4 linked regions of the Drosophila melanogaster genome follow. The protein of the gene in region 4 purifies or fractionates together with the protein of the main gene of each other region. This does not show direct contact. Each region holds a gene or a part of one and is shown on either strand. Other genes may lie near its edges. The genes, in order: CG3548, prod, RPA3 and Gnf1.

Region 1 (6,475 bases), on a different chromosome or scaffold from region 4:
CCTCAATGAAGCGAGTTTACCGTTCAGAACCAATATTCAAAAGTAACGTACAAAACTAGTTAATAAAAGTGTAAACCTTTATGATGCACTAAATTATTTGCACTTTTCAATTTCTAGACGTGTCACAATTTAAGTATCTGGTTAGATAAAAATGCGTTCCTGGACGTCCTGTTAGCTAGCTGGCCTTGCCGCCGTCTGGTTTTATCATAATCCTGGGATTGGGCGAATCGTCAAACCAAGACATTACATTGGCGCACAGCGCAAGGACCTCCATCTGGGGATTCGGGGGAAACACGCGACCAAAGCACTCCAGCAGCATGGGCTGTCGGCGGACCACCTCGTAGTACTCATCAACCCCAATGTTGGTATCCTTGTCCAAGTCGAATTTGAGGAACAGCATCTCCTTCATGTCCTGAAGGAATGCGAAATGTGTCAGTGTTTCAATGGAACAAGTGTAGGGGATGGTGCCTCACCAAGCGCAGCTCAATGGATTCGTCTTCATCCTCGCTCTCAAAGAACTTGCCGACGAAGAACCCAACTTGCTCGCCATTCAACTGCTTGGAATCGCTTTTATCGTAGACCTGCAATGTAAGCAAATGGTCTAGGCTAATTTCATATGAATACTATGAATTGCCCACCGAGAATGCGAATTCCATTTTCAGCTGAAGATCTTTGGTGAAGTATACGGTGAAAAGCCGCACAAAGGACTCCAAGTGTATATGCTTGTCGGAAAAGAAGTCAGGAGGCCTGGAACCTGGTGTATGGGCTATTCTATACACAATGGTCGCAATGAGATCGCGATCCACGATCTCAAACAAGAGCTCCATCAGCGCAGAGAGTTGCTGAATGGTCATGTACTTTGCTCTCGGCCCATTGACCAGCACAAACTTATGGTAGAGCATTACAATGCTAATCAGCTCGTTATGCGAGAAGATCGAGTCCTTTGCCAGGCGAGCAATGTCCTTCATATACACGTAGTTGAAGCGGGCATTCTCCAGAGTGTCCAAGGAGCCGTCCAGGTCCTTCATTTCGATTTATCACAGCTTTCTAAAAGTTCAAGTGGATGAAATATATTGATAGAACCCTTGATTTTTAAATACTAAGCATTTGCAGAGTTGCCCACTTTGATTCCTGTTTCGGGGACTGAGAGATCGGAGAACCCCCCTTTAAACGCACGTCGTTCATCTGTTTATACACTATGTATTTGTATTTCATTATCTAATGGTTTAATCGTACCTTGCTCTCGCCCGATATAGGGTATTAATTAAGCAGAAGCAGGTGACAGGATATTACAGCGCTATACAACACGACGTACAGTAACTTATGCTTAGACGAATTATAAAAGATTCTCGCAATGTATGGACAATGGATACATTGATCTGCAACTACGGCAGCCCAACTGGTGGCAGCACAAGTATAAGTAGTAGTTGTGTAAAAAAAACTTAAAGCTAACAAATGAAGGTATAAAAATAATACAGTGGCCATAGAGAATACTGACTGATGAGTAAATTGCGTTCTGCAAAGGGGAACTTATTCAGAGTCTGTGCATGAGTATTTTCGAGTTTGTTTTTTTTTCGACGACACAACCGCATTTTGAATTGATCTCTTCGCCCGGAGTACTTAACAGATACGGATACAATTATGTAATACTAATTTCTTGAAAATGCAATGCCTGTGAGTTCGTCTCGTGCGAATTGCACAATAAACAACAGTCCATTCGTCCGAGTGGCAACTTGAGTGTGTCGATGAGTATTGTATGCGCGTCCGGCGTTTACGTTTCCGTTTCCGGTTACTCTGGCTGACCGGAAGAGCTACATTTCGCTAAACATATTTCAAGCTAAATTTTAAAGTACTGTTGATGTTTCCTCTAAATGCCTTACACCCTAATTGCTGGCTCTCTTCGTATTGTATATGCATATGGGCCAACAGCCACGCCCCTAGTTGCAGGCGGCATTGAGCGCCAGCGCCCCCTCCGCACTGGTCGATGGCCCGACCTCGTGGACATTGTTGTAGTCCGCTTTGGCATTGCACTTTGCTGAACTCTGATCCTGTATGCTTCCGTTCAGGCCACCGCTCTTCAGCGAGTAGATCCCCAGGCGCGCCTCGTGCTCCCGTCGTTGCTGCCGCAGCCGGATGTCGTGCTCCTCGCGCATGTGCCGCAGCTTGAGGTCCTGCTCCTGCCGGTAGTAGGCCATCTTCACCTCCTGCTCCATCTGCTCGAAGCGCAGCTTCTGCTCGTGTTCCCGCCGGGCGTAGTCGATTTCGGCCAGACGGGCCTGCTTGAGCAGCCTAAACAGGTCCTGCTTGTACTTCTGCTCTATCTCCGTGGCGGCGACCAAATCTAAGGACTGGCTATTTGTGTCTGCAACTGGGGTGGCGCTCGGAGCTGCGTTGGTGGAGGCTTCGTTCTCGTCGGACAGCAGCGACTGGGCCTGTGAGAGCTGGTTAACGATGAGATAGTATTATTAGTAAGAAAGATTAAGATTCCCCTTCACAAAAATTTGCAACTTGTTCAGCTAAACCTTAATTAATAATAATAAATAAACTTGCGGCTTGTGTTCAAACTCACATTCCTTTGTCGCCGCTTTCGTGGTGGGCCTACGCCCTTTTCGTTCTCCTCCCCCGTTTCGCCGGACGTTTCTGTCTTGGCGCCCGAGGGCGACTGCTTGGCCTTGGTCCGCTTGCGTCGCTGGGCTGGCAGCTGGGCGGGATTTCCCTCCTGCTGGGAGTCCCCGTCTCCGCCAGCAGTGGAGGGCGGCGGCGAGGGGATGGCTATTGTGGAGGTCTGCAGCGTGTCCTCGCTGGCGTTCGTAGAGTTGGGCAGAGCGGCCAGCGGCATGTCTTCGTCCTCGTCGATGTCCATGAGCTCCTTCTTAAGAGCGCCGTTTGTGTTCGCGCTGCGTGTCTGACTGCGCGAGGTGACCGGATCCTTCTGCATCTCCTCCAGGAACTCGATCATCCGCATGCCTTCCAGGGCCTCCGTTTTCGGATGCTTCTGCTGGTGCTCCCGCTTGGCGGAGTTCTTCATGCTGCGCCACTGCACCTGGATCTGCTCCAGCAGGCGATGGCGGAAGTTAAGGGCATTGAACCTGGATGGGGGGTTGGAATGGAAGGAGTGAAGGGCCATTATAAGACGAGCTCCACTGCCCAATGGCGCAACTTACTGCTTGGTGATCTGCGACCAGGCCAGACGCTTGGCCTTTATGCTCTTGGCGTCCACGCTCCGGTTCTCCACGAAGGCCACCTTGGACTTGATGACCTCAAGGAGCAGCCCCCTTTCCGCCTCCTCCCAGTTAAGGGAGCGTTTCTTGCGCGTGCCCTTCTTCTTGCCACCCGCGCCTTCCTTCTCGCCAGCATCCTCGGCCGCATCCTCCGCGTTCTCCGCCCCCTCGTCCGCGGTGGCGCTGCTTGACTTCTGCGGCTTCAGCTCCACCTTCTCGTCCTCGTCGTCGTCCTCCGGCGGAGAGGAGGCTCCCTTGGTCAGCAACTCCTCCAGTTTCATTGTTTTTGTTTACACACTGGATTCGCTTTGGCTGGATTCTGATTCGAATGCCCAGGCTTGCAAAAATCCTATTTGATTTCTGTATATACTGGAGCTTAGTGATGTGAGAAGTGCATCGTGCATCGGGCATCGATATATTCGCTGTATCGATGACGTAGCGAATACATCCTCCCTGTTAGCGGAGACGCACACAATAAATTCGCACATAGTATATTTCGGTATATTGGTCGATGAAAATCCCAGCTCTCGCCGCTTTGGTCATACTGTCAGTATCGAAGGAAGTAAGTAGCAGGCGTAATTTTATGTTTCATAAGAATCCGATTTAAGAATATATCTCAACCAAACCAGCGCGATGGCATTCGGTGACTATCCAGCTGAGTACAACCCCAAGGTGCACGGGCCCTACGACCCCGCTCGCTTCTACGGCAAAGGTGAGCAGGTTACGTAATTTTTGCGGCAGGCACAGAGCACATTTGCACTGCCCAAAAATGTGCAGCGTTTTACATAATTTAAACAACTTTCCGACCTCTCCGCTCTCTCCGATCCGCAGCCGATGTGCCCTTCGGCCAGGTCAAGCTGGGCGAGATCGGCGCCTGGCTGGGACGCCGCAACAAGACCCCCAACGCTGTGGCCGGAGCTGTGAGCCGTGCCTGGTGGCGCTGGCAGCACAAGTACGTGTTCCCAAAGCGCGCCGGGATCGCTCCCTTCTTCCAGCTGACCGTCGCCAGCATGACGTTCTTCTATCTGATTAACTACACCAAGTTGAAGCACCACAGGAACTACAAGTACCACTAAGCGGCGCTGCCCGGTGGTCCTGCATCTGCAACAGATTCTACACTTTCCACAAGGCGTGCGAGAGGCGGGCAATCACCACTAAACTATATCTATTTGGCTTTTGTGTTTTGAAAACTGCTTAAGTGAATAAAACGGCTGCGAATATCCATGCTGCCATAGACTCAGACTCGGTCTCTTCCGCACTCGAAGACTGCATTTGGGCCGATGTCCAGCTCGGAACTGGACTGCTCCCAGCCGAAAGTTGACCGGGCCGTGTGGATTTCGCAGATAAAGGGCAGCTCCCGGTCGCAGTTCAGGGTTTGCCAGGTTCCCTGCGGCGTCAAGGCCACGCAGCTGGCGTTGCCCAGATCACCACTGCAAATTCGGTTAGATTTAGAGAAGATAGCATTGGCGGCTAACCTAATAAACTGTCAGCCTACCCAACTCGAGGATGACCACCATCCCAGGCTCTGTAAAGAAAGCACTGCAAGCTCTCCCCTTGGGAGTTCCTGAAGTCCAGTGGGCTCAATGACGTTGAGCTGTTGTAGGCCAAACCCACATAGGCCAGATAGACATTACCTTCTGCCAGAGACTGTGATTTCCTGTTGAATTCCACTAGCCATTGGGCCAATAAACTGGTTCTGTGTTCGGATGCGATGTGGGCCAGACTACCAGTGAACTCCGAGGAGTTTGAACAGGTCAGTGAGGCATTCAAGTAGGCACTAGGCTGAGTATACACCACGAACAGCCCAACCTCCGGTATGCAGCTGTAGTTCCTTACGACTAGCAAGAACCACAAAATTATTCAACCAAACAGATACGCTAGATACTTCATTTAACCTGTTGGCCTTCCATATAAGCTGTAGTAATCGAAGCGACTGTCATTGACCATCCCTGAAAATGTGTTATTCTGAGGACACTTCAGGACGTGGCAGTTGAAGAACTCCCCTGGCTGTTCGAAGACACTCAAACGACTTCGAATGCGCTGCTCCTTGTCGCCCTGCTTGCCAAAGGACCTCTGATCAAATGCATTTAGCCTCCTTTTCGGTCCTCCTGGAGCGTAGTTCAAGGCCAGCCCACGCATATCATGCGCCAGATCAGCACATTCCTTCAGAGAGGATGTGTTTTCCAGGGCCAGAGCTTCATCAGCTGCAGCTCGTTGGCACTGGCGAACCAGGTGGAACTGCAGCGGGTTCAACTTCCCAGTGGGGCAGTTCAAGGAGCCCCTCGACACACCCATCAGGTAGGTAAACACAAGAAACAGGACGGCAGGCGCCATTGGAAGTAACTCGGAGTAGTTGAATCCGAATCTCACGTATCTACGATCATATCTCCACTGACATATCACACTGAAATTGTGCCGCTTGGTGTTGTAATCCACGACAGGAAGTGTCACTCACTTTCAGATATTAGGGTCAGTTTGAGTTTATTGTTCATTGATTAATATTAACTTAGAGCTACACTAAATTGAGCTTCAGTATGAATTGAATCGCGTGGCTTGTACGGCTCCAGAGGAGCATTCTGGTTGCATCCTGGCAGTGGACGTCGGAATGCTCGATTGAAGCGGTGCAAATGCTGAGCTTAGTTTGAGAACTGTTCACTTCTGCCTTCATATATGTTATATATATACCATGTATAATAGGTGGCTGATCCGGACGGCTGAATTATAATAAGGGCTAGAACTCCTGCCGCATGGGAATTAAGTACGTAAATCGATGACAAGAAAGTGTTTAGGAAATTCTACTAGAAGGGCAGTTGGTCATCCGAAGAGTAAATAAATTACGCGTAGTGCATTCATAGTAAGGCATTAAGTAGATACGAGTACAAATATCACCTGAGCGTCGGCTGCTGCATTCGTTGTTAGTTCGACAGATTGTTCTGGGAATGGGGTTAGTCAGGGATGTAGAAACACGCTTAGGAGGGGGGGCGAGTCCAACACCGACTGTGCGGAACAGAGCTCGATGGGTGTCCATTTCCGAATGTGGATGTGGACCAAGATCTCTGCGACATTAGCGGGCAATGGGGATGGACCCCGGCCATTGCCCGGTAATCTCTGCACATCATTTGCAACTTAGGCTAGGCTTAATCTAAGAAACAGCCGCTGGACCAGACTGGTCTGACTGCTCCGGCATCCTAAAACTAAGTGGCTCCAACTCTACCAATCGTTGACTACCGCAGCGCACCTGCGCGACCGAATCT
Region 2 (5,844 bases), on a different chromosome or scaffold from region 4:
CTGCTTACACAGTGGACACTCGGGCTTTATCTGCAATCGAGAATAATTAGATGGTTAAAATAATGGTTTACTCGCCTGCGGACTGGTTACCTTGCTCCACTCGCACAGGCACTTGAAGCAGAACTGGTGCATGCACGAGTCCGTGAAGCACTTCCTCCTGCAGCGGGACAAGCAGATGGCGCAATTGGGCGGCGGCGAGTTGCGCTCTACTGTTCCGTTCTCCTCCGCGGCGGATGCACTGGTGCCCGGCTCACCGATGGCGTTGGCATTATCCGGGCCAGCGGATACAGGTTCCTCGGCCTCGTTGTCTCCCGACTCACTGCCGCTCTCGGTGAGATCAGCAAACTTAATGGCCGCAGCCGGTAGCGTCCGGCCTCCGGCATTGGATCCTTCCAAACCAGGCTCCACAATCACCGATGCGCCCAACTCATCCACTCCCAAATAGGGCACGTTGGCGGCAAGAGCTCCGGGATTCTCCTCCGCCATTCTGGCGACTATATAGCGGCTATATGGGCTGTAAAATCGGCCGTAAGATGGGCGAGAACTCGGGCCTGAAGTTTTGTGTCTACTCTGTCCTCCTCTCTCTCTCACTCTGCTCCTCTCGCCCTCTCTCGCTCGCACTCGCTGGCTGGCACGCTACTCTATCATCTGGTTCGCAATTCGGTTCTCAATCCTCGTTTTCCAGCGGCCTTTTCCGGGCTAGGGGACGCATTATCCGTATTCTCTTGCGGTCTATGTGGTGGTCAGTGGCCTGTTCTGTAAAATAGCACAATTTTCGGGCCAGAAATCGCACTATATCTCAGTTAATTTTACACCTGAAAATGCAGGAAACTTGATTTTTTTGACCACTACGGTGATACCGTTCGTCGCGTACAGTTAAATGCTGCAGACCACGGAGATTGATATACTTTTGAATTACTTCAGAATACAAATTTTAAATAAAAAAGGTTTGGAAAATATGTTGAGTCAGCGGTTCTACTAGCTGTTCTACCCTCTGATTGAACTTGATTGAAAAAGCAGGACTAGCTTTGTTACAAAAATTACGAAATACACAAAAAATGCTTAAAGAACTAGACCAATTTATTTTATAAATTGAAATGTGATATTTTGAGAAAAATAAATATTTTTAGATGTATTACACAATCTTGTGAGATTGTGGCGCGGGTAAATTACAAATTCCAAGAAACTTCTTTTCGAACCTAGGAGAACCAAACAATTATTTTGATATTTTCTAAAATAGTTTGGTATTTCGGTTTTGGTATTTAATTTCGGAGCCTTAATTGTTTGTGTTATCGATAGCTCGTTGCTTTATTGCCTTTTTGTGGCGTCTGTTTCAATTTGTTTGTTTTCAATTGTTGGTCATAATTTGGATCCCCAAAATGAATCGACGCAACAAGCGGACGTCGTACTACCAATACGAAGTATACCTAGACTTCATGGAGGAGAATCCCCCGATGTCGGCCAACAAACTGAGTCGCACCCAGGACGGCAAGAAGTGGAAGGAGCTCAGCGATCTGCTAAACAAGTGCTCCACGGGTCCCACTTTGTCGCCCGAGGAATGGCGAAAGGTATGTTGTAACCAGTTGGGTATCGAGTGTACAAGCCCACAGTGTGTCATGCTTATAGCGCCTCAACGACTGGAAGAACAGCACGCGCTCCAAATACCGACGCAGCATCAACTCGGATGACAAGAGCAATGCAATGACTCCTCTGGAGAACAGAGCCCTGCAGATCTTCTCCTTAGAACCGAATTTTCGCGAGGGAATTTCGATGCGCCTGCACGAACTGATGGAGGAGCAAGAGGAACTGGATGAAGAAGAGAATGAGAACCTGGAGGAGTTGGTGGATGAGGAGGAGGAGGAGGAGGTGCAGTACCAGCAGTTCATAGCAGAGCCTCACGAGCAAGCCAACCCAACGATCATCAATGGTCACAGTGCCGCGAAAAAGCTAAGGCTCGATGGTTCCAGTGAGATTATCTACGAAGGTGGGTAGACGCAAATCTAATGTAAATACTAAATATCCTATAAAGGGACATAGCCTTGATTTCAGTCGCGGATGTCACATCTGATCAATCTGCCGCGAAAGAACCGTCTGCCTTCTATGGAGAGAAAATCCAGGAGCAGCTGAAACGCATTTCGGACATACACGAGGCATCGCTGCACTTTAAGATAGCCCGCTTCAAGTACAATAATCCCGGATTCGAGTACGTTCCGGAATTATAGCCCATGCTAGCCATGCACATTGATATAATGTATAATGTAATATAATATGTGAGCTCAGAGGGACCTGCTGATTTCGCCTCGAATTAAAAGCCGCGGAACGCTCAATAAGTAGTACAGTAGGCATTCGTTGAAAACAAATTCTTGAGTAGTGTGTACCATATACCAATTAGTCGTTTTTAAGACTGTTGTTATGCATATCGTTCGACGAAATACTTTTTGCACATATATTTTGAAATGTATTATTGATTTATATGAAACCGCTAATAAATATTGTGACAAATCATTTCTGAATCCGCATGTTTTTATTGCAACAAAATTGAATTATTTATTGCACATCTAGCCATAACTATCGCATGGCATCTAATTGCTTTTTTGGCTTCCCGCCAGATGCGCACCACTGGCGTGCCGAATGCAACCCTGCGCCAACAGCAACAAAATGCAACTAGAAAATCCCAAACGCTAAATGCGTAAATTGTTTGTGAACATCTCGCATCGCTTGGTGGCGTCGATTTGCATTTTAGGGCTTTTGCCAGCTATTTAAACACGGCATCGAGCACGCAGGCACAGAGCAAGGATACCCGGATGAACGGCAAGATGGACCGCCGCAAGAAACGCACCTCATCGGAGCAGTACCAAATGTACATCGACATGATGGAGAGCGACCCCATTTTCGCCACCGGACGAGTGCCGCGCGACTATGACCTGAACTACTTGACCAAAAAGTGGAAGGAGCTCTCCGACCGGCTAAACAAGTGCAGCTCCGGACCCACACTGACGCCGGAGGAGTGGCGCAAGGTACGAGTACCACTACATCACCCAAATAATGTTACCTCTAATCGCGAATTTCCTGCTCCACATACAGCGCCTAAACGATTGGAAGAACACCACTCGCTGCAAGTACAGACGCAGCCTTCTGTCCACGGAAAAGGACATCTCGATGACCTCCGTGGAGACGCGCGCTCTCGATCTCTTTGGCAAGGTGCCCACCACCGGCGGCGAAACGATGCTCAATCTGAAGTCCGAAAAGGATGAGCACGACGACGAGATGGAGGAACTGGGCCAGCGTACTTCGGTGGCATTTCAAAAGGAACTTCAGGCAGCCGTTGAAGAGGCAATCAACGATGAGGTGGACGAGGAGGAGATGGTGGAGGAGCATGTCGATCACGAGGACATGATGGAGGAGAATCTGGCGGAGACCGGCATCACCGCGTCCACAACGGCGGTCAATACGGGTGGCGGCACCTATCGCACCATCGTCGTGGACAACACATCCTTCGAGCATGTCGAGGAGGATCCCCAAACGGTGCAGCCGCACGCCGTCGAGTACGTCACATCCCGCAGGCCTGCTGCCCCCGTCATCAATCCGGGCACAGCCTCCTCCGGCAATAAGCTGATCAACGGCGAGCTGCCCGTCAAGCGGATGCGCACACAGCCCAGGGAGCAAATTATCTACGAAGGTAACTATGCCGTTTTACTTTGCTTAAGTTTAAGCAGTTAACATCACGTTTTTCCATATCTTTCAGTTAAAAATGCGCCGCGTTGCATTTCAAACATGCAGGCCGTGCCGCCGCTGCACAGTACAAAGCTGGAGCGGGAACCCAGTTCGCTGACAAGCGCGCTGAGCAGCAGCGATGCCCAGCAGATCGCGCACCAGCTGAAGCGACTGGCCGACATCAAATTCGAGACACTGCAATTTGAGATTGCGCGCTTCAAGTTCAACAACCCGGGCTTCCAGTACGATCCGCCGTCCTTATAGTGTCCCAAGCGGCAGGGCGAGATCAGTGGGTCTAAGCAGTCGGCAAAAACTCCAGCACCAGCAGAAGCCACGGCGAAAGGATCAGCATTAGCAAAAGCAATGGAACGAGTCAAGTCAGCTCGAATTGTATAGGTCTTTTACGAATGTGCTCTTTGGCACTCGAACGTTTTCTAGCTCTCCAAGTCCTGCGCTCCGCCGGAACACACACAAAACTGTAACTTATAGTAGCCAGATTTAAATTGACTAGTTTAAAATTGACATAGAATTCTATTGTGTAAACAGTTATTTTCAACTTTTCAAGCACTTCATCTACGATATCCATATATATGAAATAGGCATAAAATTGTAATATCTAAAGTGAAAAACAATTGGACAAGTAATTTTAACGCGTTGTATGTAAATGTTAAGAATAAAGTTTACCAATGATAAATATGCGCCGCACAGACGTGCTCCACCTTTTGCCTGTTGTTGCATTTTTAGAGTTTATTTATGACGCCGTGGCCAGAATCGAAGCCAACACGAAAAGTCCATTAATCAAAGCTAGGGAGATGGCGTCGACAACGCGTATATGCATTGTGGCTCGGCTTCGCTTTGGCTTTTAGTTTGGGTCATTTTAACCTGACCGCCAACTAGTGGGCGCACTTTGTAACTGTCAGCAGCGCCTGGAGGCATCGATGCGAAAGAAATCACTTGTGGCTGTTATGGTCGCCCGATGCTGATGCAACAAGTGCCGATCCAAAGTCCTCGGCTGCTCCCTGCTCCACCTACTCCGCTTGGATAACTGCAATGGGCAATAGATCATTTGCGGGCCGTGCGCTGCGAATCATAAATTACCGAAGACCAAGGTGGAGCGTTTGAGGGAACAGACCTCCGCCATGGGACGACGCACGGTGTTCCGTTAGGAATCGTTGGCATCGCGTTGATAACTGCACAACACGTCGTATGCTTAATCTGTGCTCTATGTAAAGGTGCACTCAACAAAATGACCAGCTAATCGAATTCCTGATATTTGTGTTTTATCTCACAGGTGAGAAATTGCATCTTAGGCATATTTCTTGATATTTCAGGCTTGCTCCTTGTTGGTCATTGATTTTTTTGAGTGCAATGTGGTGTCGCCTGTGTGGGTGCCGCTCGCTCTTTGATGAAAAGCCCGCTGGCAAAGCTGATTAACCTGCACACACACCTCGGCGGGAAATGAGTGTCTGGGACCCAGATGTCTTCTTCTCACATGGCCATGAAATGGAGGCTCCATCTGCGACTGGGACTGCGACTGGAACCAAGTTTGAGGAACTGATGGGTCGTCGCTCAGAGTGCATGCCCAGTCCATTAAGCAGTTCGTGTTGCACTCGTTTCGCTCTGCCATCCACGGCTATATGAGTCCATGGATTTGGGACTGGATATGTGGGTATGGTGGGTATGGGTATGGGTATGGGTATGGGTATCGTTATAGGTATGGGCCCAGGGTCTAGGCCTGGAATTGGCTTTGGTTTTGGGCTTGGGCCAGGGCACACATGACGGCCAGCGTGCAGAATTGACCCCATGGGCGGGTGCTATAAAAATTCAGCAAAAGAAACTGCACAAAATAAAAGCCGACCAGTATGTGAGATGCTGGGATACGTAGATGGAATACCCTTCGACTGAAGTGAATTGTTTCTGAAAAAGACGAAAGTGGCCATTATTTAATATTTAATTACTTTTAGCGGCATGATATTATTAGTACCCCATGAAGGATACGAGTATATGTAGAAACAGCCAGTAGAGAGCCCAGTATGTTGTCCCTTCTCATGTATATTGATGAATGAATCCGTTTCGTCATATTTTTAGAATGACTAACTCGTAACTGACAAAACAACGCCGAAGTGAACT
Region 3 (4,971 bases), on a different chromosome or scaffold from region 4:
ATTTGACGGTGCAGGAGGAGCTAAACGATACCTTCGCGGAACTGAAAGCCATTGGAGCCTACTCGGCGGAAGCCAGGGCACGAAGAATCCTTGCCGGTTTGGGTTTCAGCAAAGAGATGCAGGACAGGCCGACGAACAAATTCTCCGGAGGCTGGCGCATGAGAGTGTCCCTAGCAAGAGCTCTCTATCTGGAGCCCACGTTGCTTATGCTCGACGAACCGACCAATCATTTGGATCTTAATGCTGTCATTTGGCTGGACAACTATCTGCAGGGCTGGAAGAAGACCCTGTTGATCGTGTCCCACGACCAGAGTTTCTTGGACAACGTCTGCAACGAGATCATACATTTGGATCAAAAGAAACTGCAATACTACAAGGGCAACTATTCCATGTTCAAGAAGATGTATGTGCAGAAACGCCGCGAGATGATCAAGGAGTACGAGAAGCAGGAGAAGCGCCTGCGCGAGCTGAAGGCCCACGGTCAGTCGAAGAAGGCAGCGGAAAAGAAGCAGAAGGAATCGCTCACACGCAAGCAGGAGAAGAACAAGTCTAAGCAGCAGAAACAGGACGAGGATGAGGGACCTCAGGAGCTGTTGGCCAGGCCCAAGGAATATATTGTCAAGTTCCGCTTCCCGGAGCCATCGCAGCTCCAGCCACCCATTCTGGGTGTCCACAATGTCACCTTCGCCTTTCCGAGCCAGAAACCGCTGTTCATCAAGGTTGACTTTGGCATTGATCTAACTAGTCGAGTGGCCATCGTGGGACCCAATGGTGTGGGCAAATCAACCTTCCTCAAGCTGCTGCTCGGTGAATTGGAACCGCAGGAGGGTGAGCAGCGCAAGAATCACCGACTTCATGTGGGCCGCTTCGATCAGCACTCAGGTGAACATCTCACGGCAGAGGAATCGGCTGCAGAGTACCTGCAGCGTCTGTTCAATCTGCCCCACGAAAAGGCGCGTAAGGCATTGGGTTCCTTTGGTTTGGTCAGTCATGCACACACCATCAAGATGAAGGATCTGTCCGGTGGTCAGAAAGCCCGTGTGGCCCTCGCTGAGCTATGCTTGAGTGCGCCGGATGTACTAATTCTCGATGAGCCTACGAACAATCTGGACATCGAGAGTATCGACGCCTTGGCGGAGGCAATCAACGAGTACGAGGGTGGCGTGATCATCGTCTCCCACGACGAGCGTTTGATCCGTGAAACAGGTTGCACTCTCTACGTAATTGAGGATCAGACGATCAACGAGATTGTTGGAGAGTTCGATGACTACAGAAAGGAGGTTCTCGATTCGCTCGGCGAGGTGGTCAACAATCCTAGCGTGGTGGCCAATGCGGCTGTGCTGCAATAACCCTCAAGTTGCATACGGACTTGGAGTCCATGCAACTGGTCATCACTCGTCAGCTGGCTCGCCCTATGTTAATTGTTCAACTGTTGAATTGATTATCTGCTAGTTAGTCTTTTTATACCAACATATATACAATAACAAATTGTGGAAGTAAATGTTATTACACAAGAGCGTTTAAGAATGTGTTGTTTATGTTATTAAATTGTGGGTATTAAGTATTTGTTGTAGAATATACGTGGAACTGGTTAAAACACCCGTAAATTGTACTCGTAATATATGTAGATAGATGATTTATATTTAAAGTTAATGCCAGCTCTGAGTGTTCTCCAAAAAAATGGAAAAAATAACATTAGAGTACATAATATTAATTCTTAGATATAATTGTGGACATCCTAGCCGCTGCGATAGAAGGCCTTGACATTGTTAATCAGGTGGCTCAATCCATTATAGCCATCCTTATCGAAGTCGATGTTCTCGCCGCCAAACTCGATGACCTGCAAATGAATAGTGGGCAAATGGTTTGGGATCATTGAAATAAATGACTCCATGGATTGAGTGCACCCACCTCCTTGGCCCTGAGGGTGTCCGCACCATGGGGCACTCCAATGACCTCGACCCAGGCCCCTTCGGCGGCGCCCAGCTCACCCGGCAGATTGATCTTTAGCTTGTGGTTGTCTGTGGAACTGGCCAGCAAAGTGGATCCCGCGACGCTCTCCACGCGAACCATTATGCTCACGGTTTGGCCGGAAAACTGCTTCAGCATGCCGCCGTTGATAATCGAGCGTGGATCAAAGGCATCCATAATAACTCCTCAGTTAATAACGTTCAAAAAACAGCCAATTTCAGCAGAAAATGAAATGCCGTAAACAAGAAAGAGCGCCAATAGTTATCGAGCGTGCTAATCGATAATAAAATTGCATGACGTCTGCTATCGAAATTATTCGAATTTTGTAGCAAAAATATTTATGGATTTATTGTAACATCAAAAGTTATTACATTATTACTGTGGACTTATGTATTATAATAAGAATTAATAAAAATAATTTATAATAGAATTATAAAAAGACCTGATAGATTACATGTATTACAACAATGTTATCGACAGCGAACAAGATGTTCGAATCTTTCTGATATTTTGTCCGGTGTGAACGTGCGAATTTTAGTACGACAACCAGTTACATCGATGTATCGATAGTTTTTAGACTGGCCAATGTTTATTGTTATAAAATAAATGTTACAAATAAACAATTAATCACTTAGTATAAACAAAAATAAGTGCAAGCAGCAAGTGCGTTGTTAAAACGACCGCCGCCCTCCGAATTTCCTTATTGCGGGCATTAAATCGCAACAACAACAACGCCACCAGCAACAGCAACAACAATAAGCAGGAGATTCAGATTCGCAACGCAATCAAAACGTAAAAAAAAAACGAAAAATAAAAAACTACAAGGCGAAACGCATAAATAAATAGGGAAGCAAATAATAGTAATAATAAGACTAAAAGCAAGTGGAAAAGTACGAAAGCGAAAAGAGAAAACATATGTACGTTGCGTGAGAGTGACGTGTGTGTGTGTGTGTCAGTGAGCGAAGGAGAGTGAGCGAGAGAGGGGAGGCGAGCAAAAACAAAAACAACAGCACAGCATAAGCGAGACCTTGAAAACTTTAAAAGCAGCAAAAAAAACAAGACAACAGCCAAAAATAAGAAACTAAAAGCTGCAAAAGTAATAAAAAATATATTTTAGCCGAAAAATTTCCATAATAACAATTCTAGAAGTGCGGAGCGTACACCCTGTTATGGAGAGTGACGATTTTCATTTACCGCAAGGCGCCAATTAAAGGGGAAAATCCATAAATCGAGGATTACAAGTGGAAAACAAGGAGGCAGTAACTCCAGAAAACGCCCAAAAAGTCCAAAATGGCAGCACCAGAGACGGGCAACACGGGCTCCACAGGATCCGCTGGCTCGACAGGATCGGGATCGGGATCGGGATCGGGAAGTGGGAGCTCCTCAGATCCAGCGAATGGACGGGAGGCCCGTAACCTTGCCGAAAAACAGCGACGGGATAAGCTTAATGCCAGCATCCAGGAGCTGGCCACCATGGTACCACATGCAGCCGAATCCTCCCGTCGCCTGGACAAAACCGCCGTCCTTAGATTCGCCACCCATGGCCTGAGACTTCAGTATGTCTTTGGCAAGTCCGCTTCCAGACGTCGCAAGAAAACCGGCCTCAAGGGAACGGGTATGTCTGCCTCACCTGTCGGAGATCTACCCAATCCCAGTCTGCATCTAACGGACACTCTAATGCAACTGCTGGACTGCTGCTTCCTCACCCTAACCTGCAGTGGCCAAATCGTTTTGGTATCCACCAGCGTGGAGCAGCTATTGGGTCACTGTCAGTCCGATTTGTATGGCCAGAATCTACTGCAGATCACGCATCCCGATGATCAGGATCTGTTAAGACAGCAGCTAATACCCAGGGATATAGAGACCCTGTTCTATCAGCATCAGCACCACCAGCAGCAGGGGCACAATCCCCAGCAGCACTCCACTTCCACGTCGGCCTCAACTTCGGGCAGTGATCTGGAGGAGGAGGAAATGGAGACGGAGGAACACCGTCTGGGTCGGCAGCAGGGAGAGGCGGACGATGACGAGGATCACCCGTACAACCGACGAACACCCAGCCCGCGGAGAATGGCCCATTTGGCGACCATTGATGACCGACTACGCATGGATCGGCGCTGCTTTACCGTCCGCTTGGCTAGGGCTTCCACGCGAGCGGAGGCCACGCGTCATTACGAGCGGGTTAAGATCGATGGCTGCTTTCGTCGCAGTGACTCCTCCTTAACCGGAGGTGCCGCTGCCAACTATCCGATTGTCTCCCAGCTGATACGACGCTCGAGAAACAACAATATGCTGGCTGCTGCTGCAGCAGTGGCAGCAGAAGCGGCGACGGTGCCGCCCCAGCACGATGCCATTGCCCAGGCGGCGCTGCACGGGATTAGCGGCAATGATATTGTCCTGGTGGCCATGGCCAGGGTGCTGCGAGAGGAACGGCCGCCTGAGGAGACGGAGGGTACAGTGGGCTTGACCATTTACAGACAGCCAGAACCCTATCAGTTGGAGTACCATACGAGGCATCTAATCGACGGCAGCATCATCGACTGTGATCAAAGGATTGGTCTGGTGGCGGGATATATGAAGGATGAGGTGGGTATATTAACATCATCTCTCTGAACTGCTTACGACAACTAATCGTGTACTCTCCACTCGAAACAGGTGCGCAACCTTAGTCCCTTCTGTTTCATGCACCTGGACGACGTTCGCTGGGTGATTGTGGCCCTTCGACAAATGTACGATTGCAACAGTGACTACGGCGAGAGCTGCTACCGTCTGCTGTCCCGCAACGGGCGCTTCATTTACCTGCACACCAAGGGATTTCTGGAGGTCGACCGTGGCAGTAATAAGGTGCATTCCTTTCTGTGCGTCAACACGCTGCTCGATGAGGAGGCGGGCCGGCAAAAGGTGCAGGAGATGAAGGAGAAATTCTCGACAATCATCAAGGCGGAGATGCCCACGCAGAGCAGCAGTCCCGATTTGCCCGCCTCGCAGGCACCGCAGCAACTT
Region 4 (7,562 bases):
CGTTGCATTAGCGGAAGATTGATGGCGCATATGTCAAATAACATGTTAAATGAAAAGGCAAGTTGGCATTAGTTGCATTCTCCGCTTTGACATTTATTGTAAAGTGCAATTTGCTGACACGGACTAACAAGCTTTGCATTTTTTCAACATGCATTTCATGGGTAACGTGGGACTTTCTGCTTTTTTGTACTCCTAGTTTTATTATCATCTTAAATCGGCCATGAACTCTATGAAATGTTTTGAAGGTGTGTGTATTTAAGGCAGAGATAGGCGTTACTCATTAAGCTATTATAACTCCCCATATCTGGACTTTAACTTATTTAGTTACCGGACGTCGAACATGAACGCTTTTTCTTGCAGTGTAACCAGCAGCAAGAAGCTCAACTGTATAAACTTTATTTTTTAAGGCCTTTCTGAATTGATCCAAGAAAATATCTCATAAAGATATAGATGGAAATTCGAGATATTTTTAAGAGGTTAGTATCCAGTAATGTATATAGGGCCTCGAAACCTTTGACAAAAATTTATTCGCATTTTCGCAATTTCGCATTAAATTCTACTCTGTTAAAATATACAAAAATGTATTAAGAGTGAAAATAAAATATATTTATAAACCAACAATCTTGCGCTGCTTCTATGTATCTGGAATCTTCTTCTAGCTTTTATAGTTCCTGAGATCTCGACGTTCGACAGACGGACATGGCCAGATCGACTCGTCTATTGATCCTGATAAGAATATACTTTATATGGTCGAAAACGCGTCCTTCTGCCTATAACTATAAACTTTTTTAACTATCATTTGAATAAGGCGTAGTTGCAACTCAAATCAAAACGTGTCAGAATCGCTATTATATATAAACACCGACACTAGACCCTCGACAGGTGAGTGTCCTGTTGGCAGTTACCTAAAGTATATCTGCAGGTGTAAAATATAATGCTTAGTTTATACCATTTAACTTTTAGCCAAAATGACCCAAGTTCCCATTGGCCTCGGCCCAAATATGCTTTAATAGACTAATCGCGAACTGGCTGGCATTTCCTGCTCCGGATCTTAGTCTACTCGCATAGTGATGGCGTTCGAAACGCCCAAGCCCATCATCTTGGCTTATAAGCCAGGATAATACGAATGTTAACAGCAGCAGCAGCGGCTTCTCTGCCCAAAATACATATGTACATAATGCATTAAGCATTAGCCACTTGTAATACTAATAATATCAAATGCTCATTCTAGACTACTTCGTAAGCACCGGCTCAATTATACAAATATAGAACATATTCATACTGTAATAAAAAATAAATCAAAAACCTTTTATTGCAGTCTTCCAATTAAACGCATTTTGAGAAAAAAAAAAAACAGAGAATACTATAGTCGAGTTCCCCGACTTTCAGATACCCGTAACTCAGCTAGAGTGAATGCGGACGCGCAAATTTCATAATTGATTGAAATAATTCAAATTGGCAAGGCAAATAATAAAACGAAGAAAAATCTTAAGTTTTCAAAAGTGGGCGTGGCAGTTTTGTGCGGCTTTGGATACAAATTTAGATCGATAGAACTTTACATGACTTATGAAATTATGAAAAAATATCAAATTCTTCAAAAATTTAGTTTATAGTATATATAGTATAAATGTGGTATACCCTTTTACTCCTCGAGTAATGGGTATAAGTCAATAATGTTGAAAATACGATTATAAGAGTAGCCAGTTGAAAGGTAACTTAATTTTAGGTATATAATGGTATTCGAAGCGTGACAGAAATATGAATAATTATTTTATATCTCAACGCTTCCTTCTATTCCTGAAGTCGCCTTTATTTTCGCCACCCTATTGTGTCAGGTCTGTGTACAATTGTACATTGAACAACAAACTATTTAAAAGAGAATATATGTTGAAGCTAAATAATAAAATAAAAATAACTAAATAAAATAGTAATTAAGTATTCGGCAAAAAATTGAGCTCAGCATTTGAAAATTTTACAGCCCCTCTGATTTCTATCAAAGACAAAAACCTTATATCAGGAGGGTGCCTTCGCTAAAAACAAATATACATATATGTGAAGGATGTCTCCGCTAAAGATGTATTCGCTAAATACATCGAAAATCGCATGCGATATGATCTGTAGATCTGCACTTGAAGTAAAAAATTGGTGAAATTAACATTCATGTAAATAAAATTATAACACGGTTCACGAAATCAAAGTCATCAAAGACAAAGAAATATATAAACAATAGATTTATCAGTTTTAAGATTTGCAACGTGCAGCCCGTTGCCGTCCGAACTTTTTTGTTGGAATATCGATTACAACTGGATTAGATAACCAACTGAATGTAAAGTGGAAAATACTTTTCAATTCCTCGCTACAGTGACAGAGAATGACAAAATTGATTTATTGGTTATTTATCATATTTAATAACACAACAAGTGTTATGTTCATTTAATTTCTTTCCAGTTTTTGTGCCTCTTTCATAAAATTGACTTTTTTCTTTTCTGTACGTGCTTAAAACAATAAATTCTATTTCCTTTTCATTCGCAATTCACCGTTGCGAATTTTTTTTTGCTGCCCAGACGACTTTATACCTTTTGTATCTTGACACACATTTAGTGAGCTATCGATAACGTTCAGTGCTTTTGATTCTTTAAAATACTTATACTAGTTTTTTTCAATCGTCACCGACGCGGTTACACTGGGGATTTCGTGTCTGGTAACACTGTTCCGTATTCTGAAGCTCGCAGCATTAATTTTATAATAATTAATTCCTGCCGTAATGCAACGCGTAAGTTGTGTAGAGACAGTCAGGCACTAGGTGAAAACATCAATTTAACAAAATCATTTGTTCCAGGGCATTGACTCCTTTTTCAAACGGCTGCCGGCCAAGGCGAAAAGTGCCGAGGCCGAAAATGGAGAGACGCCGTCGAAGGCGCCAAAACGCAGGAAAGCCGTGATAATTTCCAGCGACGAGGACGAGGTGGTCAGTCCGCCGGAGACCAAGAAACGCAAGGCTTCGAAGACAGCATCCAGCGAGGATGATGTGGTGGCCGCCACACCGGAACCGATTGCGAAGAAGGCCAGGAACGGGCAGAAACCAGCGCTCTCCAAGCTTAAGCGGCACGTAGATCCTACGGAGCTTTTCGGTGGAGAAACCAAACGGGTGATTGTGCCCAAGCCGAAGACCAAAGCTGTTCTCGAGTTCGAGAACGAAGACATTGACCGGAGTTTAATGGAAGTTGATCTGGACGAGAGTATCAAAGAGGCTGCCCCCGAAAAAAAGGTTCACTCGATAACCAGGAGCTCTCCCTCGCCTAAAAGAGCAAAGAACAGCAGCCCGGAACCGCCAAAACCCAAGTCAACAAAATCCAAAGCCACCACTCCGCGTGTGAAGAAGGAGAAACCTGCGGCAGATCTAGAATCCAGTGTCCTAACAGACGAGGAACGCCACGAGCGTAAACGTGCTTCCGCCGTGCTCTACCAGAAGTACAAAAACCGCAGTTCGTGCCTGAACCCCGGCAGCAAAGAAATTCCAAAGGGATCCCCGGATTGTCTGAGTGGCTTAACCTTTGTCGTAACCGGAGTCCTCGAGTCCATGGAACGAGAGGAGGCGGAGTCCGTGATCAAGGAGTATGGCGGAAAGGTGATGACCGTGGTTGGAAAGAAACTCAAGTATCTGGTCGTAGGAGAAGAGGCTGGACCAAAGAAATTAGCTGTGGCTGAGGAACTCAATATACCCATTCTCAGCGAGGACGGGCTCTTCGATCTAATCAGGGAGAAATCAGGAATCGCTAAGCAGGTAAAGGAAGAGAAGAAAAGCCCGAAGAAGGAGCACAGCTCCGAGGAGAAAGGGAAAAAGGAAGTCAAGACTTCTAGAAGGTCCAGTGATAAAAAGGAGAAGGAAGCCACTAAACTGAAATATGGCGAGAAGCATGATATCGCCAAACATAAAGTCAAGGAAGAACACACTTCCCCGAAGGAGACGAAGGATAAGCTTAATGATGTACCAGCTGTTACCTTGAAAGTAAAAAAAGAGCCCAGCTCCCAGAAAGAACACCCTCCGTCGCCAAGAACTGCCGATCTGAAGACTCTGGATGTGGTCGGGATGGCCTGGGTGGACAAGCACAAGCCTACGAGCATAAAAGAAATCGTTGGCCAGGCAGGAGCCGCCAGCAACGTGACCAAGTGAGTAACCTAAATGTATAAATGGTAGCTTCCACTTTCAAAGTTATATATTTATTATACAGTCACAATTTGAAACTGAAAGCCAAACAGGAGAGGGTTAAAGTTTTACATTATTTTAATTTTCCTAGGCTGATGAACTGGTTGTCCAAGTGGTATGTTAACCATGATGGAAACAAGAAGCCCCAACGGCCCAATCCTTGGGCCAAGAACGACGACGGCAGCTTCTACAAGGCGGCCCTACTTTCGGGACCCCCTGGAATAGGAAAGACCACGACGGCGACTCTGGTAGTGAAGGAGCTTGGCTTCGATGCGGTGGAGTTCAACGCCTCCGACACACGCAGCAAACGCTTGCTCAAGGATGAAGTGTCCACGCTGCTGAGCAACAAATCCCTCTCCGGTTACTTTACAGGGCAAGGCCAAGCGGTCTCCCGCAAGCATGTGCTCATAATGGACGAAGTTGATGGCATGGCCGGTAACGAGGACCGTGGTGGAATGCAGGAGCTGATTGCCTTGATCAAGGATAGCTCTATTCCAATTATTTGCATGTGTAATGATCGCAACCATCCAAAAATTCGATCCCTGGTTAACTATTGCTACGATCTGCGATTTCAGAGGCCTCGCCTCGAGCAAATCAAAGGGAAAATAATGAGCATCTGCTTTAAGGAAAAAGTAAAGATATCACCGGCCAAAGTGGAAGAAATCATAGCGGCTACCAACAACGATATTCGGCAATCCATTAACCACATTGCCCTGCTGAGCGCCAAGGAAGACGCTTCCCAAAAGTCAGGGCAGCAGGTTGCCACCAAGGATCTGAAGCTGGGACCCTGGGAGGTGGTGCGAAAAGTCTTCACCGCGGACGAGCACAAACACATGTCTTTTGCCGACAAGAGCGACCTTTTCTTTCACGACTACAGCCTGGCCCCGCTCTTTGTGCAGCAAAACTATCTGCAGGTCCTACCACAGGGAAACAAGTAAGTCTAGTTTACCTAAGCCAAGGGCGTACCCATTCACCAACTTCACTCTTTGCAGAAAGGATGTCCTGGCAAAGGTGGCAGCTACGGCAGATGCCCTAAGCTTGGGTGACCTTGTTGAAAAGCGTATTCGTGCGAATTCTGCTTGGAGTCTTCTACCCACTCAGGCCTTTTTCAGCTCGGTCCTTCCTGGCGAGCACATGTGTGGCCACTTCACTGGACAGATTAACTTTCCCGGGTGGCTGGGCAAGAATTCCAAGTCTGGAAAACGTGCCAGGCTGGCCCAGGAGCTGCATGATCATACTAGGGTCTGCACCTCGGGCTCAAGGCTATCAGTGAGGCTGGATTACGCCCCCTTCCTTCTGGATAATATTGTGCGACCTCTTGCAAAGGATGGGCAGGAGGGTGTGCCCGCTGCTTTAGACGTTATGAAGGATTACCATCTACTCCGTGAGGATCTGGACTCGCTGGTCGAGCTTACATCCTGGCCCGGCAAGAAATCCCCACTGGACGCAGTGGATGGGAGAGTAAAAGCCGCTTTAACGCGATCCTACAACAAGGAGGTTATGGCATACTCCTATTCCGCTCAAGCAGGCATCAAAAAGAAGAAATCAGAGGCTGCTGGAGCGGATGACGATTACTTGGACGAGGGTCCGGGCGAAGAGGACGGAGCTGGTGGCCACTTATCATCAGAGGAAGACGAGGACAAGGACAACCTAGAGCTGGATAGTTTGATCAAAGCCAAAAAGAGGACAACTACGTCAAAAGCGTCTGGTGGATCCAAAAAGGCTACATCTTCCACGGCTTCAAAGTCTAAGGCCAAGGCCAAAAAGTGAATGCACTAACGATTTCCTATATTATATGATGATTTTTTTGCCATCAAATTTCCCATTTGTAAGTAGTTTTTGTTTAAAATCTCATGAATGGCCGGCACTGGCCGACACTGTTTATACTGCTGAAAATATATATTTACCAATAAAATATGTGCTTGAATTGCAAAACATTTTATTATAACACTGAGTGGCGTAGGTGTAAACTAAAAAGGGAAAAATTGGTAATAAAATAATTGTCTGTATGAATAATACTACGAAAGAATTGAGATGATGATTTTTTAATTGATCAATTGTTTGCTTTAACTGTATAAGGATCAAGAGCGCGAATATGTCAAGCTCAAATTTATTTAAAAAAAATTGTTGGTAACGCGATCAGTGATGGTCACTCCATGCTCTATAATTTAAACTAATTTGTACTATCGTACATTTACATTTGTGAAAAATACGTTTACAATTTAAAAATTAATTTAAGTCTTTAATTTATACTTAATTAATTATTATAAATATATTATAACATAATAACGTTTTTGGCCTGAAACAAATCGATGATGTTGCGAAGCACAATCGATAATGCAGCAATCGATGTTTCGGCAGCCCTGCTATCTCGTGGTAGCGCCAAAGAGTATCGTATCTGAGTTTTTTCCCCGATGTCAACGCGAACGGATGCACGTACTGGGCAGCGGAAAATGCAGTGAAAATTGCCAGAAAAGTCAGGGGACAGCATGTGCGGGCAAATTCAAGCGAAGCATTCGATTAACTGCCAGAGTGCGCGATCCACTTGATTTTCCGGGAATACCTGCCACGTTCGACGGGTTTCGCGTTCTATATTTTTCGCACTGAAAATTCTCGGCTTACGCGCGCCTGTGTGTGTGGGAGTGTGTATCTGTGTATCCGTGTAAAGGGCGCAGCTCGGCGAAAAACAACACCCATAAATGAGCGAAGCCAGCCTGGCGTCGCGCTTTTAATCAAATTAAAATTAATTGTAGTTCAAAGCGTCGAACTCGTCCGCTTTTTTTTGTTTTTTGCGCAACTCTCTGAAAATTCAATAAGCACGTAAATTCCAGCACACACACAACGACTTCAACCGCGCACACACACAGATACAACGCTGCCGAGCTGGGCGAGCGAACGCGAGAGCGAGAGCGAGCGCGCGATAGAGCAGGCAAGTGCAGACTCCGATTCCCTCCCACACCCCCTGCCCAAGCACCCACCCCATTGCTGTTGTTGTTGGGCCAGGCCAGGCCAGTCACAAGGACACTCTCAGCCTCCCAGCTCACGCATACATGCTCACGCCCGAGAGCCAGGGTTTTGCGCTCCTCTCCCCTTCCCATTCCCCTTGCGCTCGGTAAACAGGTGCCGCGCCTTGTACCGTTACTTTGCCTGCCTTCGGAGGGCTTCGTGCTGCGTGTTTTGGCTACACATGTTTACCTTTCAGCACTCGCCCAAACGTCATTGCAGTGAGTGTGAATCCATCCAGGGGTCAAGTGGGGGGAGTGTTGTGAATGAGGGATTCGAATAAACGAATTTTCCAGCTCATAGCTGTCGCCAATACTCCTTTCACGCAGCATGCAAATTGAGATTTACTCAT

Evidence for each region.
Region 1: the proteins of Gnf1 (region 4) and CG3548 purify together in Drosophila melanogaster (affinity purification with mass spectrometry, with the first as the bait; one large-scale study listed by BioGRID). This does not show direct contact.
Region 2: the proteins of Gnf1 (region 4) and prod purify together in Drosophila melanogaster (affinity purification with mass spectrometry, with the first as the bait; one large-scale study listed by BioGRID). This does not show direct contact.
Region 3: the proteins of Gnf1 (region 4) and RPA3 purify together in Drosophila melanogaster (affinity purification with mass spectrometry, with the first as the bait; one large-scale study listed by BioGRID). This does not show direct contact.

What each region holds. Positions count from the first base shown.
Region 1 is NT_033778.4:24,597,075-24,603,549, reverse strand, and holds CG3548 (uncharacterized protein), read right to left. Parts: upstream 3,604-6,475; 5' UTR 3,503-3,603; coding exon 3,165-3,502; intron 3,090-3,164; coding exon 2,570-3,089; intron 2,442-2,569; coding exon 1,938-2,441; 3' UTR 1,183-1,937; downstream 1-1,182. Other genes in the region: CG3565 (uncharacterized protein), read right to left, coding at 176-412, 474-581, 639-1,028; ATPsynF (ATP synthase, subunit F), read left to right, coding at 3,855-3,933, 4,053-4,297; CG13587 (uncharacterized protein), read right to left, coding at 4,459-4,651, 4,717-5,059, 5,117-5,555.
Region 2 is NT_033778.4:18,967,969-18,973,812, reverse strand, and holds prod (proliferation disrupter), read left to right. Parts: upstream 1-2,679; 5' UTR 2,680-2,804; coding exon 2,805-3,017; intron 3,018-3,084; coding exon 3,085-3,679; intron 3,680-3,745; coding exon 3,746-3,978; 3' UTR 3,979-4,409; downstream 4,410-5,844. Other genes in the region: Topors (topoisomerase I-interacting protein), read right to left, coding at 1-30, 91-486; CG15107 (uncharacterized protein), read left to right, coding at 1,380-1,568, 1,627-1,984, 2,038-2,222.
Region 3 is NC_004354.4:11,613,607-11,618,577, forward strand, and holds RPA3 (replication protein A3), read right to left. Parts: upstream 2,235-4,971; 5' UTR 2,149-2,234; coding exon 1,912-2,148; intron 1,841-1,911; coding exon 1,739-1,840; 3' UTR 1,491-1,738; downstream 1-1,490. Other genes in the region: CG1703 (uncharacterized protein), read left to right, coding at 1-1,349; Met (Methoprene-tolerant), read left to right, coding at 3,262-4,554, 4,624-4,971.
Region 4 is NT_033777.3:4,903,950-4,911,511, forward strand, and holds Gnf1 (germ line transcription factor 1), read left to right. Parts: upstream 1-2,672; 5' UTR 2,673-2,764; coding exon 2,765-2,773; intron 2,774-2,839; coding exon 2,840-4,170; intron 4,171-4,232; coding exon 4,233-5,141; intron 5,142-5,199; coding exon 5,200-5,977; 3' UTR 5,978-6,132; downstream 6,133-7,562. UniProt on the Drosophila melanogaster protein: The elongation of primed DNA templates by DNA polymerase delta and epsilon requires the action of the accessory proteins proliferating cell nuclear antigen (PCNA) and activator 1. This subunit binds to the primer-template junction.